2 linked regions of the Drosophila melanogaster genome follow. The protein of the gene in region 1 interacts with the protein of each later gene in a pairwise test. Each region holds a gene or a part of one and is shown on either strand. Other genes may lie near its edges.

The links.
Region 2: the proteins of CG14671 (region 1) and CG13526 interact in a two-hybrid assay, tested with the Drosophila melanogaster proteins (one large-scale study listed by BioGRID).

Annotation. Positions count from the first base shown.
Region 1 is NT_033777.3:5,549,489-5,566,384, forward strand, and holds CG14671 (uncharacterized protein), read right to left. Parts: upstream 15,328-16,896; 5' UTR 15,238-15,327; coding exon 14,918-15,237; intron 14,853-14,917; coding exon 14,705-14,852; 3' UTR 14,489-14,704; downstream 1-14,488. Other genes in the region: mia (meiosis I arrest), read right to left, coding at 105-274, 335-1,132; Pcmt (Protein-L-isoaspartate (D-aspartate) O-methyltransferase), read right to left, coding at 3,474-3,557, 3,783-4,187, 4,443-4,579, 4,641-4,695; Snm1, read left to right, coding at 5,647-6,713, 6,771-7,224, 7,282-8,052; Pi4KIIalpha (phosphatidylinositol 4-kinase II alpha), read right to left, coding at 8,810-8,813, 8,879-8,947, 9,011-9,831, 9,891-10,086, 10,184-10,314, 10,587-10,705, 12,779-13,406, 13,477-13,641; CG12746 (uncharacterized protein), read left to right, coding at 16,654-16,896.
Region 2 is NT_033778.4:22,753,500-22,756,396, forward strand, and holds CG13526 (uncharacterized protein), read left to right. Parts: upstream 1-1,719; 5' UTR 1,720-1,825; coding exon 1,826-2,290; 3' UTR 2,291-2,397; downstream 2,398-2,897.

The sequences.
Region 1 (16,896 bases):
TATTAATTAATATGATTATATTCCTCTACCAGATGGATTTCTCTCTAATAAAATGATATGAATTCACAAATAACCCAAAGAACCCACACATGATGAGTACTTGCCCAATGACTCTGGGCAGGATGCCGTTGTCGGCAGCGTCGAACTGGCGCACTATGTGGGCCATTATGTTTCCGGAGTATTCCCTTAAGGCCCAGTGATCCTCCGAGTTCGGAGATGCGCACACTTGTTTGGCCAGCAGGCAGGATAGAACGGCTGGCAGGAGCAGGTGGAGCTGCAATTCAACAGATGCATTCTTCAGCTTATCCTATTCCTCTCAGAACCAAATACTTACATATTGCAATAGGCTGAAGCGCTGGTTTCCCAAAAGAGCTCGGACCATGCGCATAAGGTAAAGGAGCAGCGGCAGGTTCTGCTGGGCCACGTTGATAGCCACTGCGTCCGCAATGAACTTGGTCAACCTGGGCAGCAACTCCTCCAGCGAGGGATCAGTGGAGATGGCTTTGAGAGCAAGCACGCGCCGGGATTCCAAGTCGCCTACGCAGGCCTCGGTTACCAACTCGAAGAAGTTCTGCTGTTCCATGCTCAGCGGATAGCGCTTGCTGGGCTTTAGCAGCACCTGCTCCACCTTTAGCCACCCGGTGTGCATGGGAGGCGGCTCCAATGAAGTCTCCGGCACGGGTTCCGGCACAGATTCCTGCACGGATTCCGGGTAGGAAACGAGAAGTTCATCCTTTTTTTCGGCGGTTACAGCTTCGCGGACGGTTTTTAATACTTTTTGGGAAGGAGGCATTTTGCAATCGTCGCAATGGACCAGCCTAAAAAAGATGTCATAGCAGAGGTCGTCGTGCATTCGGACGGCATGCTGGATGTGAGACAGTTGCAATCGCCGATCCCGGATGCGCCGCATGTATTTTCCAGCCTCGTTTAGCAGATTTGTAATGTCTTCCTTAACATTGATGGATAGCCACTGTGCTACTCCGTCGTCCAGATGCAGACCAGTGCTGTGGAAGAATATCGCGGATAGAGAACGCGGCGACAAAGAATGTCTGCGAAAACTTTTGTCCTTGTCGGGCATTTCATTCTGAGACGTTTTCATTTTAGTTGCGTTTTTGTTTTCAAACTGCCACATTTTGGCACTAGTGATGCCACTGGTCGATAGGCGATGCACGACGCCGTTATCGGTCAGAAAGGGTCGTCACTCGATACCGATACCCGCCAATTGAATTTTCAAAAATATCAAGCGAGAGTTTCAAATGCGGCTTGTTTGATTTTTTTTTGAATGTCAGTTCAACATTGGCAAAGCTTGCCACAACCTATCCGAGGAGTAATACTGTTTCCAACAAAAACACTTCATAACCAATTATTTTAGCTTAGCCGGTTATTTAATTACAAAGTTAATTATATTATATATCATATATATCATCATCACATATATGTGGGTTGTATTACGTGGTCCACAATTTGGTAGCTAGGTTAATTAGGTTAATCATCATTGACGGTTGCACTCCGGATACACTTAAAAAACAATATATCCCTAATAGCACAGATTCACTTCCCATCATTGTTGATTTTGTACAAACTTACTTAATATAAAAATAAAACTGTTCATTTAATAAACCGCGTTTTTAGACTTTTTTGTGTAATGTGTGCCCTCTGGGAGAACTTCCCAGGTCGAGCTCCTTTCGACTACTGCCCTTTACAGCATTTCCACAACCGACTGAACCTGACTTTGACATAATTGTCAAGTGAAATTGTAGAAACCGCCTAGTACGAATGGGAATAGGAAAGTCCGTATCAGTTTCATACAGTTTGGTATATATATATATATATATATACATACTATACTATATTTGCGATTATTGTTTAAAATTTGTTTTGCACTGATTTAAAGTGTAATCTCCAATATTTATATCAATAATTTTACTCAAAATATTTCCCATGCTGTCGCATACGAGAGGTAACGCCTTAGTCGATTTTTAGATACCCGTTACTCAGCTAGTGCAAGTGCGAACCAAAATTTCATGTACTTTCTCTGGGATATCGATTGGGTATAAAATGAGACAAAATGTGTAAGAAGGGGCGTTGCCAAAATGCTTTTGGTATACCGATAGAAATGGGTAAGATAATCCATAAAACGGAAAAAAATAAAAATATTTTTCCAAAAAGTCGGCTTGTCAGCTTTTGGTAGTTTGTGGGCATAATAGTGGGCGTGGCAAAAGGTCAAATCTATAGAAATGTACATATATTGTATAATTAATATAAAACAAGAAGGAATGTTATAGTCGAGTTGCCCGACTATCTGATACCCGTTCCTTACCTAGTGTGAATGCGAACGTGAAATTCCATCATTATTCATCATTATAAAAATTGTTCAAAAGTGTGGGCGTGACTTGGTGTCTTTAGGGTGTTAGAGTGGGAGTGGCAAAAAGTTTTTTTCATATCGATAGAAATTTGAACGTCTAATAAAATTGAGAAAAATTTGCTTGAATGTGGCCGTAGCAGTTTTGGGCGGTTGAAGGGAGTTAGAGTGGGCGTGGCAAAAAATCTAGAGAAACTGTATTTTTGCTTAAAATTATTAACACATTTTTCAAAATTGTGGGCGTGACATTTTTGTGCGGTTTGTGGGCGTGCCAACATAGGTCAACAAACTTGCGCTGTGTCGATGTCTCTAGAATGCTGAATCTTAATCTTCTAGCTCTTATAGTTCCTAAGATCCCGTTCATACGGACAGACGGACATGACCAGATCGACTCGGCTATTGATCCTGATCAATAATATATATACTTTATATGGTCGAAAACGCTTCCTTCTGCCTGTTTTCTACTTTTCGAAGAATCTACTTATAGTCTACTTATTTACTCTACGAATAACGGGTATAAACGTAATTTTTTTAAAACATCCTGATTAAATAAATGGTAATGCTGTTCCTGAATGTTTTAGGGACACTTTTGGTGTTTTAGCACTTGATTAAATTGTGACTGATTAAATTATATTTTACGTTCCGGACATCTATAGTTCACTTGTTGGATCTCAATTTATAAATGTCTATGATGGTGAGCTGGTTTGATGAAACAAAGCCAGTCAACTATTTAAAACTTAACCATTCGAAGTATAAGTATTTAATTAATAATATTAAGCACGAATATTTAACAATTATCCTATTCTTCATCACTATTAAAACTAAATCTGTAAATCGGGGAAAAATTCTTAAAGGTGTAGTTAAAATTTATCTCACTACGGACATAAAAAAATTATGATTTCATTAATGTAATATGAAATGTTGAAGCTGCTTGGTAACTTTAAACAAAAAAACGAAAAGACAGCGTTTGTTCGGTAAACTTATATATTTGCACTCAACGTGAAAAAAAGCAATTTAATTTTGATTGATTGATTAACTAGTAAGCCAAAATTAGGTAGAGAAAAAACACGAGCAGCAGCACCGCAACGAGCGACCTTCCCACTCTGTGCAGTCAGGAGCGAAGATCCGTGAGAGGGACGTACATTACGCCCATGAGACGTGTCATCTCCACCTTCCCATTGGCGTCCTTGTCGTACTGTAAAAATGGTTATATTATTATATATTATTATATATTATTATGTATATTATTATATATTATTATGTATATTATTATATATTATTATGTATATTATGATATATATATATTATTATGTATATTATTATATATATATATTATTATGTATATTATTATATATATATATATTATTATTATTACATATACATATTATTCCAGCAGTTATACGAATCAGCATCTGCCCACCTGTTGCATGTACTGAGACCCGCCGTCGGGACCGACTGGAACTATCAGGCGTCCGCCGCTGGCCAGTTGGTTGATGAGTTCGGTGGGTGTGTCGGGAGCAGCTGCTCCTACATGGATTGCATTATACGGGGCGTTCGGGGGGTATCCCTTGCGGCCGTCACCCTCGACGATCAGCAACTGGCCGGAGTCCAGCATGCTACGGTCGTCGGTGTTTAAGTTGGCCTTGCTCCGCCGCACCAGCTCTGCCTGGTGCTCTATGCCCACGATTCGGGTGTCCGCATCAACGCCCTTAGCCTTGATGTAACGATAGAAGCAGGCTGTGAGGTAGCCAGATCCAGAGCCCACATCCAGTATACGTGCACCGGGCTTCAAGTGGTCGCGTAGATACTCCAAGGCGAAGGCATGCTGGGAAAGAAAAATGTATTAATCTCCAGTTTAAAAAGACACTTTACTTTCAGAAATTATAAGAATATGATGGGAAGAAGCTACGGGAGTGAAGAACTAGTCTTCAAATGATGAGCCATTGATATGTTTTTAGTGGATTAAAGAAAGCTACTTTTTTATGCTGCCTCCTAAAAGCATCTTGAGTGTGGGCATTGACTCCCACAGCAAACATGGCGAGCAAACTATTTGTTTTTCAATGTCCTGGCTAGGAGTTACCATGTGAGGAGCACTGATGGTGACACCTCCTCCAATGGGTTGCGGGGCGTCCATGTAGGGGTTGCGCGGAGAGTAGTGCTTGCGGTCGGTTTCCTTCATCGCCTGGGCCACCGCATCACTTGCAATGACGCCGTGATCTTGGGGATTCGGTTCTATTATTAACTCGGCCCATTAAACGGAGCGAATTCAAGGGCTCACCCTTCAGTTGGCGAATCAGGTCTTCATTATTGGCTCCCACGGATCGCCACGCCATGCTGAAGGCGCGGAAGAAGAAGCCCAGTTTACCAATCCGCACCACAAGATTCCCTTTTTCCACCGTCTTGTTGTTTTGTTTAGTTTGTTATAATATTGTACCAGAGGTGGCAGGCCAACGATAACACTGACAAGCAATCGACACATTCAAGCAGTACTCATACATCAACTGAGTTTTGGGTCGTATGTCCTGCATCTAATAAGTTTAACTCCTCTGTTGAATTTATATTGAAATAATATCTGTTGAATATATATAATATCGATAGTTGCATAACATTTTCAGTTCAATAAAAATATCACTGGTCGAACTTTAATAACTAAAAGTGAACATGCTGCTATGTACATGGATATGTAAAACATCTAAACCCGTGCTGTCACTGCTGTGCAGGTAATATTATATTAAAATTATATAAAATATATATACATATATTTTTTTAAACTTTTTTTTTTTAAGTTTAAATCATTTATTATTATGCATTAGGAATCGTTCAGTTCCTTCTGAACTTAACCTAATGTGTAGCTTAAAAGATATTATGGATTCTGTTCCTTAATTATAGTGTACACATATGTACCGTGGAGAGATTATTGTATTCTCTTCAGACGTCGGAGGGAAATAAGGTCGACAAGATCATTCGCCAACGTGTTCGGGTGGGCGCTAAGTCTGTCGGCATATCGGCTGCTGTGGAAGTTTATTTGGTCTCCCAATGGTATGGCTGCGTTTAAGCAATGAATTGCATTTAATCGTGGTCCCTGCCATATTCCTAATCCTTTCCCGAAAATCGTTAAAAAGATTATATATACTTAATTTTTGCTTGAGAGATATGGCGGCAATTTAAATTAAGCGCTTGATTTTAGTATGACCTTGTGCTTTATCGCCTGTCGATATGATAAAAGCGGTTTCTCTGGCAATCGAACCGTGCGATCCTGGCCCTATTTGTTATATGTAAACAGGATGTCCAATGTAGGGAAAATAAAGATAAGATCCATTGCGGATCTGCAGGCCACAGTACGAGTAAATGTAGAACCGGACCCAACGCCCACGATCGAGAACAGAACGCCGGACAAGAAAAGAGCGGGAAGAACTCGTGCGGCTTCCACGACAAAAAAGGTCCGACCAAAGACGGAAGCATGTCCAATCATAGCCAGCACTGCGTTCAAGCGTTCCAGCAAGAAGACTCCGCTGCCAGGACAAATGCGCATCGATAGCTTTTTTACAAGTGCCGTCAAGAACTACAAAGTCAAGTCAAGTTCCTCTTGCAGGAAGGTGGATCCTCCGTTGGACAAGCGAAAGGTATCTACCAAAGGGCGCAAGCGCCTCTTCGAGGAGTCTACAACAACCTCATCTGCCTTTACGGGCAAGCTGGATGCAAAGCCGTCAGAGAAGCGAGTGCAGCCTAGTCGCCGTGCGAAAGGCAAGGAGAACGCTAGCCTCTCCGAAGTGCACGTAATTGACCTGTGCTCCGAGGACGAGCAGACCATAAAAAGAAAGCCATCCGCGATAGCCTCTCCCTGTGAAAAAAGCAGCGATGTCCAAGCAACCAAGTTTAGAACTCCAGAGACTTCCATGCCAGAAGCCAAGCTAAGCAATTCCAGCCTAGACCTAGTGGAAATCTCCCCCGGTCCCAACAAATCCCCAACGAATAACTTTTACCGGTCATCGCCGGCTGCAATCACAAAGGAAAGCCCCCTGGGCAAAAACTCTAAAAAAGGAACTGTACGCAAACAAAGAAAACCAAAGCCTTGTCCGCCCTATAAAGTAGTGGAGGGTACATCCTTCTGCGTCGACGGCTTTCAGTTTGGGGAAATAGAGGGAGTCACACATTACTTTCTCACGCACTTTCATGCGGATCACTACATCGGCCTGACTAAAAAGTTCTGCCATCCCCTCTACGTGAGTCCTATTTCAGCGCGCTTGGTGCGAACGTTTATTAAACTCGATGAAACGCACATTCACGAAATTGATGTGGACCAGACCCTGGACGTAGATGGCGTCCAAGTAACCGCCTTAGAAGCTAACCAGTAAGAGCAGTCGCTTTTTTTTGGCAGCTTACCAAACTGCTATTTCTCACCTTTCAGCTGTCCTGGAGCACTCATGTTCTTCTTCAAACTGAGCTCTGGCGAATGCATACTGCACACCGGGGACTTCCGAGCTAGCGCGGACATGGAATCCCTACCAATCTTCTGGAACCATTCAAACATCGACCTGCTTTATCTGGACACAACGTATATGAACAAAAACTACGACTTCTGCCACCAAAGCGAGAGCGTTGACCGAGCGGTGGATCTGGTGCGCGCCTTCCTAGAGAAAAATGCAGCCAAACGAATCCTTATCGTCTGCGGCTCCTACGTGATAGGAAAGGAGAAGATATGGTTGGCCTTAGCGAAGGAGTTCACAATGAGGGTTTGGACGGAAAGCAATCGCAGCACTGCAGTAAGATGCCTGAATTGGCCGGATCTAGACTCCGTGCTAACAGAAGATCGCAGCGGAGCAAACTTGCACGTCATTGCAATGGGAAAAATCAGCTATCCGGTAAGTGTATTTCTAAAATATATCAATTTTTTAGTTAGCGATATTATTTTGTTTCAGAGCCTAGTCGATTACTTTACTGAATTCGAGGACCAATATGACATGTTGCTGGGCATAAGGCCCAGCGGTTGGGAAAAGAACTCAAAGCCTTCGTACGGCAAGCGAATTAGCACGATCGGCATTGAGTACTCAGAACACTCCAGCTACAAGGAGTTGGAGCGCTTTGTTCGCTTCCTCAAGCCAAAGCGAGTCATAAGCACCGTTCCCGTGGGCCGCGATCTCTATGTCACTGGAGAGGTGCCCATACGGTGGTACAAGTACGAAGGTCGGGCATCTATGCTGCGTACTGGGTTTCAGCCTTCGATATCCACTTTCCTAGCTACGCCGAAGCGAGCTTTTGCAAAATTCAGTGCAGATACTGAAATGTTCTTGAGCCCCGTGGATGAGAATGCTTCCAAAGGGAGTGAAGATAAGAAAGACGATGACCGGGAGTCCGTGGTGCCAACGAATCATGTAACTATTATATCCGACACTCCGGAAGAGTGTTTTCAAACTGATTCCAAGATACCAGTTAAAAACGAGCCTCTGGCACCGGACACGTCACCGAATTCTGAAATAGTTGCACAACTCAATGCGATGGAATCCGAAATTCCATATGTTGAAATAGACATTAAAAACGAAACTATCGCACCTGATGCAGTCCTCATACCTCGTGTCCCAACGGAAGATACATTTCAAAGTACGGATTGCAATGTTATTGGTGTCCAGAAAAGCCAGGCAGTCGTGGTTAGTAGACTGACATCCGATGCATCAGACGATTGGCTCCTGTAGTGATTAAATTTCGGATAAAAAAGTCCTTTGGATTTAAGTATGGCTGCTAGTAGTTTTAAGATATTTTGTTATGAAATAATAAGGTATATACATACTTATGTTCGAAAAGGGCTTTAGTTTCTGTTAAACTTTTATAATGTTTTAATATCTTTTATATAAGGCTTGCCTTTTAAATACTTTACATATGTATTTTGGTTGATATATATATATATTCCCACACTATTTAGTTGCGAACCGTACATAATGAAATAAATTGAGTTTTAGTTTGGAGGAAAGGAAACCATTAAATATGTGCTAATGCTAATAACAATGGGCGACCTTAACTCAAGTGCTAACGAATGTAAATGAGCTTTGTATTTTTCACCTATATGCATTATGATTTCATTCAAATAATAAAGAAATGTATAAACCACTTGAGCGAGTGCTTTAAAATGATCTCCTTCTGATTTCTGCATACTTTATGCGAAAACAATTGACTATACAAGCACTTGACAAACATAAGATATTTCCTAAATATGTAACCATGGTATGGGTAAGTCATCCCAGAAACTAGTAATACAAGTAATTAATTATTGAATATGACCATTTGAGTTTTTTGGCAAAAAATACATTTCTAGGCTCCGTGCTCCGTGATTACGATTTGGAAGTATACTAGACAACAACTAAGCGCATATACATGATGAAAAAGATGAGACTGTAGTAACCGGCTGCTCGATTTGATTTTTGGTGGGGTCGGCAGGGGCTGCTCCATGGTCATTTAGCTAAAAGTGAAGTAAGTGGCTAGTAAGTGACAATGCGACGAAGTACCAATGAATCGGCAACCTACCACCAAGAGAAGAAAGGGCTCTTATTTTGGAAGCGCTGCGTAAAAGAGAAGAAACGACTGCCACTTGATCTGAAATGTTAGAAACCATTATTGGCCTCCTATAATCCGGAGTCATGAAAGTATGATACTTACCGCTCGACAATCACCGCTGGCATCTGGACCAGTTGCACCGGCGACTTGCCATCCCTCAGTGCCTGTGTGAGATTTAGAATCTGGCCCCGCATCACCGACATCTGGCGCTCGAAGAGACGCTTGTCAAAGCCGCGATCCTGCTGGAAGAGGTACAACAACTCCGTGCAGATCTCCTCTACAAAGTTCATATCTGACAACTGCGGCAGCACCTGCTCCTTGATTTCTTCGCTAAACGGAATTTTCGCCTGTGGCAACCAGGCCCAATGGTAGGGATAAGCTCGCCAAGAGTCCGGATGCTTGAAGGGAAAAGCGAGACCATTGTCGATGGCAGCGATCCGAATGAAGGCCGAGTTCACCACATTCCAATCGGGTTCCGACGTAGGGGGGGATCTCGACGAGGGTTCATCTTCGCTGCTGGCCAAACTGCTGCTATCTTGCTGTGCACTTGTGGCTGCTCCACCCGCTAGGTGGTTCGAAGGGCGACCACCAGTAGTCGGTTTCGGGCTAGCCTGCGGCGGCTCGTTTAGGTCAACGATTTTTGAAGCCCCCAACGCATTGGGCAATTTGGGGGTCACAACTCCGTGCATAGTTCTGCCGCCAGTGCCTCCCACCTGGGTCGTGATCTTAGGGGCCACGTACTTGATCAGCCAGTTGTCGTTGCCACGGTCCGTGTTGCGTATGATATAATCGAGCACGACGAGGCGCTCGAACTGCAGTTGGAACGACTTCGCCACTGAAGGCGGCAAGGGTTCGCTTTCAAAGCGCCGCAGCCAATAGTCCGCATCCTTGTAACCCTCCACGAAGAGCTGAAAGGAGCCAGTCTGCAAGGAATTTTGACTTGGTTAATACCCAATCGGTTTGTTTTTGGAGACGAGTTCACCTTTAGAGGAAGGCTCATTCGGTTGAAGTGAGCCGACGGATAGTGCTCTTTAATGCGCTTCTTCAGCTTGGCCTTCTGTCGATCAATGCGTGCGTAGTTAAAGCTCTCGGCAACCAATCTGACCACTCGCGTCTTTGGAACCACATTCAGATTGAGTTTTCGATCAACCAAGCTGGCTCCTGATTCGGAGAGGTACCTAAGAAATATAAATACCATTTTAATATATATATCAACAAATGAAATAAGTTCCTCAATTGGCTTTTAATGAATGGTGACAACTTGTATTATCTTACCCCTGATTGGGAATCAAGCAAGCTCGGCCAAAACAACACGGGCAGCACAGCTTATGCATCCATTTCGTCCACTTCGGATTCAGTCTGCCATAGGGTTCCTCGTCCTTTGGCTTAAATACGGCCAGGCATTGCTAAGGGGGAGCATCATAAGAAATGGCATAATAAATACATAGAGCATAAGCGGGTAAACAATATACAATTCACTATTTTGAAACTGTTTCAGGAAAAAACCAAAAGTTTTGCAAAAGCCTTATATTTGCAGTACTTCCCCGATTACCCGATCTTATTTATCTATGCGCGGAAAAGTAAAAGATCGACGAAGTTAGGCCCAGAACTGGACGACCCAACTCCCACCTTATGCGCAAGAACGGCTAGAAGATCGTCACCCCGATTCCCTACTCACATGGGAGGCATCCTTGACAAAGTAGGAACCACTGCTACCCTGGTAAATGCGCTCGGGCAGCACACCATTCTCGATGGCCCCCTCCGCCTTCGCCACGATCTCCGAGAAAAGCGGGTCATCTATAAGAATCAAAGATTAAAATTAAAAATAGGCATTAGCACTAGGGCTTTAAATTACTAAAAAAGTTTGTGCGTAGAACGAAGATTCGCATGCCTCAAGCGACGGGTAAAAAACGGACTGTTCGTCATTTATTAAAATTGAACAAATTTGCTATATAATTATGGTTTTAATAATTTATAAACACACCAACGAAATAACGTGCCATCTGTTGGATAAAAATAATTACAGCAAACATGCACGAAAACGCTTATAAGACTGCGATGAAATTCAAGACCCCATCCTACACTTTACTTTATATCAAGGAATGGCATAGGACTGTTGACTACGCTAATCCTCTCCACGCTACCTATGAAATCAAAGTTGTCGTTGAAATCGCCCTGCAAGTCCTGGCAAATGGTAAACACTTGCGGTATGAAGTTTTCGCGACTGCTGCTCGACAAGCGCGACATGGAGGCACTGGTATATTAAGTGCGCCGGCAGTCGAGAGGTTTCGAGTCGGCTGGCAGTTGATAAAGGAGAACCAGGTCACAATTAGCATAGCCAAAGCGTTTCGATAAGGGCCAACCCCTTGCCACCACTTACAGAGGTTCCTCAGCGGGCAGTTGGCACAATTGCAGCGCGGAGCCGCGATTTGAACGGTTACTGTGTCTTTGGAGTCACGCGCCATCGACGGTGAGTTCACCAGAAAGGGCGGATCGCCCTCCTTGTCCGACTGCGACTCCAAGAAATCCTTCTCCAGCGGGCACTTGTGCTCGCAACAGATGCAGGCGTAGGCGGCGGAGGCGGAGGGCACCGAGGAGCTGCTCTCCAGCGCATCCTTGCTTGTCGTGGGCTGCTCATCGTCTCTTGGTTCGCTTGGCTCTTGGTACTTGGCTGCTATAGCGTTCGGCAACGGCACCTGGCTGAGAAACGACTTAATGTTGTTTTTCGGCATGGGGCTATGTCCAATTGGCGACAGTTGCCAAAGGAACAAGTTCCATTTTTGAAGTGCCTTCCTCGAAATTCTTTATATGCTTCCCGACTGACTTCGATTCCGAGCTACAGACGTCCACGGTGACATCCAAGTACACCAAGATTTATAACACACAATTTTGTGCTCAATTTCGAAAAAAAACTAATTCTTGTAAAAACCATAAAATTGTAAAAAATGCTTTGAAATGTGGGGCGATGACTATAGGATTAACATACAAAGGGCAAGCGAAATATGGCCATCTAGTGATATTCAGTACTGAGTAAAACGATTGCAAAAAGAACAGACAAACTATAAATCGCTTTCGGAAGTTATTTCGAAATGCAACGAAAACAAATCGGAGGGTATTACTCATCAGCGTATGTTCAAAGGCAGCAGAGCAGTGCGAATCACCTGAGTCACAAAGGTCAAAGATCTAGATGAGTACTCATTTGGCAGTGTATATCGCTCCCACAACACACTCTACATATATCTATAAAAGTTAGCTCAATTCCCTGCACAACGTACAAATTGACTAATATTTGAGTAAGCACTTCATGGACTAACCAATAGAAATGTGGTTATTCTTATGATTGCATTGATTCATATATGTATTATTTATCTTAGCAAGGGAATACAAAAGCAGTTTGTATTAGTTTTTAAATAAATCTAAATGTAAATAATTCTTTTGGAGGACGGAAATGCTTGGGTTGACCAGGGTGCTTTTGTTGACTTTAATTTAAATTTAAAACGTATAGCAGCTAGGAATCTAACCCTTATCATTCTATTTAAGAGTCTTTTTGGTTCATTTGGTCGGACATTTTGTCTAGTTTATATTCACGTTTAGTTTATATTCAAGTATGTAACAGAGGCGAAATAGCTAGTTTCCAGTTACAGATCCTCCCCGTATAAAAGAAATTAGATGAAGTTGAATGAATAACATCGAGGCCCTAAATAATCTGTTCTAAGCTTGCGCTGCTTGTGGAGATAGAACCACCATATGTAGCCGTAGAAGTGATAAGCACATCATGAGTAAAGCCACAAAGCAAACAAGGCAGCAATGTGGTCTGGGTGTGGTAGGAAATGCAACTTGTACGACTTCATTAGACCGCTGCGCACTCACCGCCAAATGTGTTCGATACAAACTCCACATGATCGTGCCCGCGTCCTAGTCCGCCCAAAAGCTCGCTGATGCGACTTCCGTGACTGGCATTGCCTCCCCCCAAGAGCGGCTGTGACTCCCGGTTGTCGCTGCCGGCGTCCGTGGACATGCCCTCGAAGTCGATTTCTGGCACCAGGCAGATGTCGTCGGCCTCGTCATGCGGATGACGGGCGAGAGCAGTGTGCGAAGTGGTTTTCAGCGGAGATGTCAATGCAGATGAGGCTACCTTCGCGGGTGCGATGTGACAAATAATCGGTGGCTGTTGGCTGCTGCTGTCGATGCTATCCTCAGCGCTACCTTTGAGTCTTTGGTTGCGCGGGTTTGAGCTTCTCTTCAGCAGCACAGCTTCTTCGCCATCTTCGTCGTCGATCTGGTCGTCGTAATGCATGACCAAGTTATCCAGTTGCGGTTTCTGAATAACAGCATCGCCGCCGGCACTCTCCTCGCCTGGCGGCAGCCCGTTGGTGTGGTTCCTCTCCTCTTGCGCCTCTTCCTCGTCATCCTCGTCGTCCACCGACAGTAGCATGGGTTCCCGCGCCTTTTTCCCTCTTCTCCTTGTCTTGCGTTTGCCCATGCCGACGGTGTTGATCTAAGGAAAAAGTCAGTTCATATTGCCATATGTATTGCAGAAGGTGAGGTTGAGAACGGAGTGCACTCACCTCAACTTTGGTGGTCAACTGGTTGCTTGTCGACTCGAAGCCATTTAAAAGCGGAGACAGTTGGTTTCTGGGCGGAGGTTGGTCCTTGGCAAAGTCCCCGATGAGATCCACCTCGTCCTCGAGCTGGAGCAGCGGGGGATCCGTCTGATCCCGAGCGCCGCTCATGTTCGCACTGAGCAGGGGGTGGCAGGCACGTGGGTGATTGGGCGTGGGTCAAGAGGGCTGGATGAGTGGGAGGTGCCGTTGCCCTCAATCCGCAGCTGACGGAACAACAAAGGCCCGCGCTGTGCTGCAGCTTCTTCTTGCGCTTCTATCCGCGACTTTTTGGGCGTCGCTTGGTTCTGTTATCTGCTCCTCCGCTTTTCCTCCGCTCGCATGTTCCTGCACAATATGCTTATATTATTCGGGCTGCAAGTTGATTACATTACTTGCTAATTGCTTCAATTTTGTGCTTCTATTTCGTTTGGCAATTTATTATCGATTTTTGGTTTAGAACCCCAGCTTCTGTCCCAGTTTTATTTCAGAAACGGATCTTGGGACGCGGAGGATCTCAAACACCATCGAGATAGGGACTCACCATGCACTCCGCAAATGTAACAAGTGAATTACGCGTTCGATTTAATTTTCGCTAAGAACACGAAGCGAAAAATGGTTGACAAATCAAACAGCTGACGAGTAGAATTCGCGGTACTGCCCACTTGCTGGTTCTGCACTCGCCGAGTGGCAGCCTCGCACATGAGAGCGCTGAGCGGAAATATTTAAAATTTAGGCGTACTAAAATATCAAGATAAGGTTTGTGGAAGTCTATATTGTATAAATTAGCTAAATAACAGTGCAAAAATCTTTGTTTCTAACTCTTAAAGGTTAGAAAAACGTGTGAAAGTAGAACTAAAGACAAGGGGAGCCAATTTATGGACTTCTTATTCTGTGAAAAACTAATTGGCTTACTAAAATAAGAAAAATTCTAAGCTCGATATAAATATGTAGTCCATTTTAATAATGTTTGTTATTTGATACTAAAGAAAAGGCATTTCTGGGCGTCATTTATAGGTTTTTTTAAACGAGGTGGGATCATACGTCAGATAATTATGAAATTGACGTTTCAGATAGATCAACAATAATTTCTCGCATATCTTCTTCATCGAGAGTCAGTGAGTGCTGTTTCAATAATGTTTTCAAATCTACTTTATTCTTAACATTGTATGGATTGTGTGCGCGCCATAAGTATCTAGCTAAGCAGGGCACTCCTTCGCAGCTTTGTGATCGAATCCAGCGCTTCTCCTAGCTGCCGCTGCAGATTAGTGCTCTCGGCGACCAGCTCTATGCAGTCCTTGAACTTGTTAACAGCATTGCGCAAGCTCATCGGTGGCAGTACCCTGGAAAAAGGAGTAAGTGAGTTATCACATTGACCCACATACACACAGGCTTTATCAGTGCTCACGAGAACCAATGCAGGGGCTCCACGAAGCCCTTGGACTTGTCAACCGCCTGTCGCTCGATGCAGACGCCATCCGTGGAGTCCACGACCCGGCAGAGGGCGTTAAACTCGGCACTGTTCTCCGTGGGAATCTGGGCCGTGGACACGCACTGGCTGCCTCCGTGCTGAAATCTAGTGCGGGCCAGGAGAATCGCCCCACTGGCGTTACATCGCTCCAAATTTATCCGACACTGGGTGTGCTCCTCAACGAGGTGGAACATGTCCAGGTACAAGTCATCCAGTAGCTGGCCCGCGGCCTCCTTTTCGCTTCTTTGAATGCTCATTGCGGGCTGAGGAATAACTTTATTTATATATTATTATTATTTCGGTCTGACGGAGATTTTTCAATCATATGATCGCACCAACAACCCTGACTTATCGCTGCTATGCGCCGAGTTGGCACTACCGTCGATAACAAATGTTATCGCCAGCCCTATTCTGATTTGCAAACTAACAACCGACTGATTTGAATCAAAACGAAAAGAAACGGCTGAAAAAAGTTTGGTTTTGTCGCGTGCATACGAGTTTTACGCAATGAATTGTAATTACTGCCGCAACAAACACGGTCATGCCCAATTAACAAGTAAACGGTCAAGCTGCACACTCTCGGGGAATCCGACTAACGAAAAGGGCAAACAGCTGTTGTTGTTTTCTTGCGCATTAGTTTTTGGAGAGGGGTGAGGTGAAAGGGGCTGGCTTCGCAGTTTGTTTTACGATGCTGTTGCGAGATTAGAGAAAGTTTATAAAAAGCCCTGCCATTAGCATTCAGCAGCATTAGCAATCGGGAAGCAGTCAAGTTGAAACCACGTCGGGATTAACGCCACCAGACTAACAACGAGTGGATGCCCCAAGTGCAAACAGTTCCAAAGTCAACTCAAATATACCCAAATCCCAGGAGATTGCATCGGATCGGGTGATAATGCCCGATAGTTGTACGGCGGACCTACGAAGTCGCCGCCGCGAAAATCCAATCGACCGCAACGGCAATATTGGCGGCACAGGCAAGGAGCAGGTGCTCGTCAGCTAGCCAATAGTGTTTTTGACGCCTGGCTTGTTAAATCCATCGCGTGTGCATATGGCATCGGCATCCTATACGATATAGCCGCTCACTATACCATATATATATGTGCACCACACACATCCATACCTATCTGGCCATACGTAACCGCGTTTGATGACAAACATTGACGAAAAGCGTGGCCAAGTGTGCACTGAAAGAAAAGCGAATGCTATGATTCCTTCTACGAACCCTATAAAAATATTTATCAACATTCTAGTTTTAGTGTGAGCAAATGCTGGCACAATCGCTAGGATGATTGGAAACATTTTTATCTCAATTTATACGTCTCGTATGGGGCCTTATTTTTTTCACTATTTGTATCTAATCGCGAAAATCGTAGGCTTGCCCATGCCACCGCTTCAGTAAGGGGGGGTTGCCTGCCTATTCCGGTATACTCTCTAAAAGCATTAGCTTTTTCATCAATAGACTTCCCAATCTGCGACTGATAAGCACATATGCACATGAAGTAAAAAAGTTAGATAGGCCTTCTTTTCAATCTATCCCACACCTGAAGTAGTTTACCCGTCCGCATACATAAGTGCAATCATTAATGACTCGTCGTTTGGTTATCTCTTCAATTATTTAGGCGACAAGCACCAGGCCTAAGCTGACAACCGAATATACCCAACGGACTAACGAAATGACTGCGAGCAAGGAAGGTCAAGAATCCAGGCGAACCCTCAGCGACAGTTCCGCAGAGGACGTCAGGAATACAGGATCGAGGACCAGGACCAACGACGACGAAATGTGGCGCAATGAACTTGCTATGAACACGGACAGCAGCTCCGTTCAGCCAGAAAAGCGAGAGGAACGAAGCCACAGAACAGGAAACTCTAATGCGAAGCTCAGCGATGCCGTAGATGTTGTTCTTCGCGTTCTCCTC
Region 2 (2,897 bases), on another chromosome or scaffold:
GAGTTTCAACACTTTGCAATATAATCTAAGAACATCAATGCTATGACATCTTACATCAGCATTCTCTCGCATTTTTTTGAGTGCATTCGGTTGAGTATGTGAGAGCTTGTCGATTATCGCAAGCATTTGGCGAACGGCAAACTTTTGCGCTTGTCGGCGTTAACAAGCCACAGCCATGCGTTTAACTAAGCGTAAATGTAACAGTGTGTGTGTGTGTGTGCGGAAGGGTAAGGGGGTGGCGGTTGAGGGGGAGTAGATCCTGTCAGCGTGTGACTAAAGTGTGTTGGTGTGTGTGTGAGTGTGTCGGTGCGGTTGGGTAGCAGCAACATTGTTGCAAAATGATTTTGAAAAAAAAAAACCATCAATAACTCAAATATAATGACAGTTTTCCACTTGTTGTTGCCCGTCACAATCACCCGCCGCCCCTAGCTGCCAACCACCACCATCCCCCGCCCCTAAGTGGGGCTAAATGGATGAATAACTTAAGCCAGCTGCTTCGCCTTTCCTCTTAGTGTGCGATGTTATGTAATGTAATAACGTCAATCAAATTTAAAAAGGCAGACCAACTATTTCAAAATCAATTTTCCTGAGACCCCGCCCCAGCGCCCCTTCGCCATTGCGCCCCCACCCCCTTTTCATGGAAGCGGTGGGAATGTGGAAAAGTGGAAAGGCAGCGGAAGGAAACAGGAAAGCGAGCTCGGCTTAAGCAAATACACAAGCACAAGTTGTTGCAGCATCAGAGGAATCCTGAGTGGGCTGTTGCTTGTGGAGCGGAGGAAGTAGGCTAATGTAGCAGAAGAAGACTCCGGACTCAGTCACTTTGCAAACAGTATCCCCCACTAAGCTCTGACTAGCGAAATTTGCAGCCAGGCACCGTGACACCGAGTGAAAAAGTGCCTGCCATGGTTAAAGTTGGGTTTAAACTTTTGACTGGCCGTGGCGCGTGGTTTTTGCCCCCGGGAGAAATGTATCATTCGTGTCATTAATCATTCGTCATGTGGGACGGCGACAACATTTCATTTGCTTATCATCCGGCTCAAAGTCTTTGGGGGAATGAACGCAACAAGAGCAGGCCTCAAAGTTGAATGAATCAAATGGGCTGTCGGAAAACTTATTTCTAAGCCTAGAAATCCCTGACAAGTCAGTGGCTTCGCGTCCCCTGCGATTGTAGGGATTTGAGGAGGCGGAGGTAGAAGCATTAGACAGAAGGTGTGGTTAAATAAATGTTTTCTTATTTGCTGAAATTACAGCAGTCTTAATTAGGATTTTCTCAAAAATATTTCACAGTATGGTTGAAATTTAAAAGTCCAACTATGATAGCATTTATTCAATATAATTACTTGAAACTGGACAGGGATTACAAAAAATCCTTTCAGCTAGTACAAGAGCATCCTTTCAATTTATATGCCCGCTTGATTTTTTATGGCCAGCACTCCACAGCACAACTACTGCCCATCATCATCATCATCGTCATCTAACATCATTCCTGTCCCATGGACGGCCACTCAAAGGCAAGCGCTGAATTGACAAATTGATGGATGGTTCTCCAAACGTTGCATGCTTCAGCATCTCTGCTTTCCTTATTTTTTCCCTTTATTGCCCCTTGTACGAGTATATGATGCATTATTATTCCGGAAAAGTTTGTGACCGCAACAACAACAATTGCTTGCCTAAGTGTTTTATTAGCCATCGAGAACAGAGTTTGAGTTCGGTTGAGTTGAGTTGATTGTCAGTTTTCATACACATCGGTTTTTCCCCATTTCTCCTTTTTTTTTTTGTATTCCTGATTTTCCTGAACTACTTTAGGGTTTTATTTGCTAGTGCCATGCCTTCTTTTTCCGGCAATGAGCTGACGAATGAGCATATCGACGAACTGAGGGATGCCTTTGAAAAGTATGATCTGGACTCGAATGGCACATTATCAGCCAACGAGGTGCGACTGGCTCTAATATCAGTGGGTTACGAAATCACTGAGGCAGAGTTGTACGATCTCATCCATTCGGTGGCTGTGAGAGACGAGGAGAGGCTGGACTTGAAAAAATTTATACGCATGATGGCGCCCCGAATGGCCAATGTGGATAGTGATAAAAGTCTATGCCGGACCTTTAACATGATTGACCGCGATCGCGACGGCTACGTCACCGTCCAGGATGTTCGTGCCATTATGGTCGTCCTGGGCGAAGTCGTAACCGATGACGATATTAAGGATATCTGCCAAGCAGTCGATATGGATGGCGATGGTCGCATAAGCTTGCGCGATTTCGTAGGCTTTATGCACAGCCCCATTTGAGCTGAGACAGCAAGCAAAATTGAACATTTTTCATACAGAGTAAGCAAACAAACAAAAATGTATCTCACAAATCTATTGTAGATTATAATAAAAATTATTGTTTTCATAATTATTAATATATTTAATTTTTGTGTAAAAAGCCAGTCAGTGTTTATGAATTTTCGTTTAATTTTATAATGGTTTTTTTTTTATTTAAAATGTTCTTTATTTTGTTTTTAGTAGGGCTTAATGTTTGAAGTACTTAAAAATTGAAATTCAATACATAGACGTACATATATTTCTGCCTGCTGGCAGAAAAAACGAAGGCGGCTGAATGGAAAACGGAAGGAAAAAATTGAGAGCATAAAGCCAGAAATTAATTCAACAGCACGTTTCGTCCATTAAGCCGCCAGAGCTTTGCTTGCTGACTTTGCCATCCTTTCGCCACCGCCCCTGCCACTCCCCCTGCAGGACATGGACATGGACACATGTGCAATGGCCGCACACACAAACACACATGCAAAGTGTTGTGTAAACAAGTCAGCTGCCAGTTGGCTGGGCGCTGCAGGCGGGGCTCACAGTAGGGGAAGAGCTAGAAGATGAAGAAGGAGCTTATCCAGAAGGAACG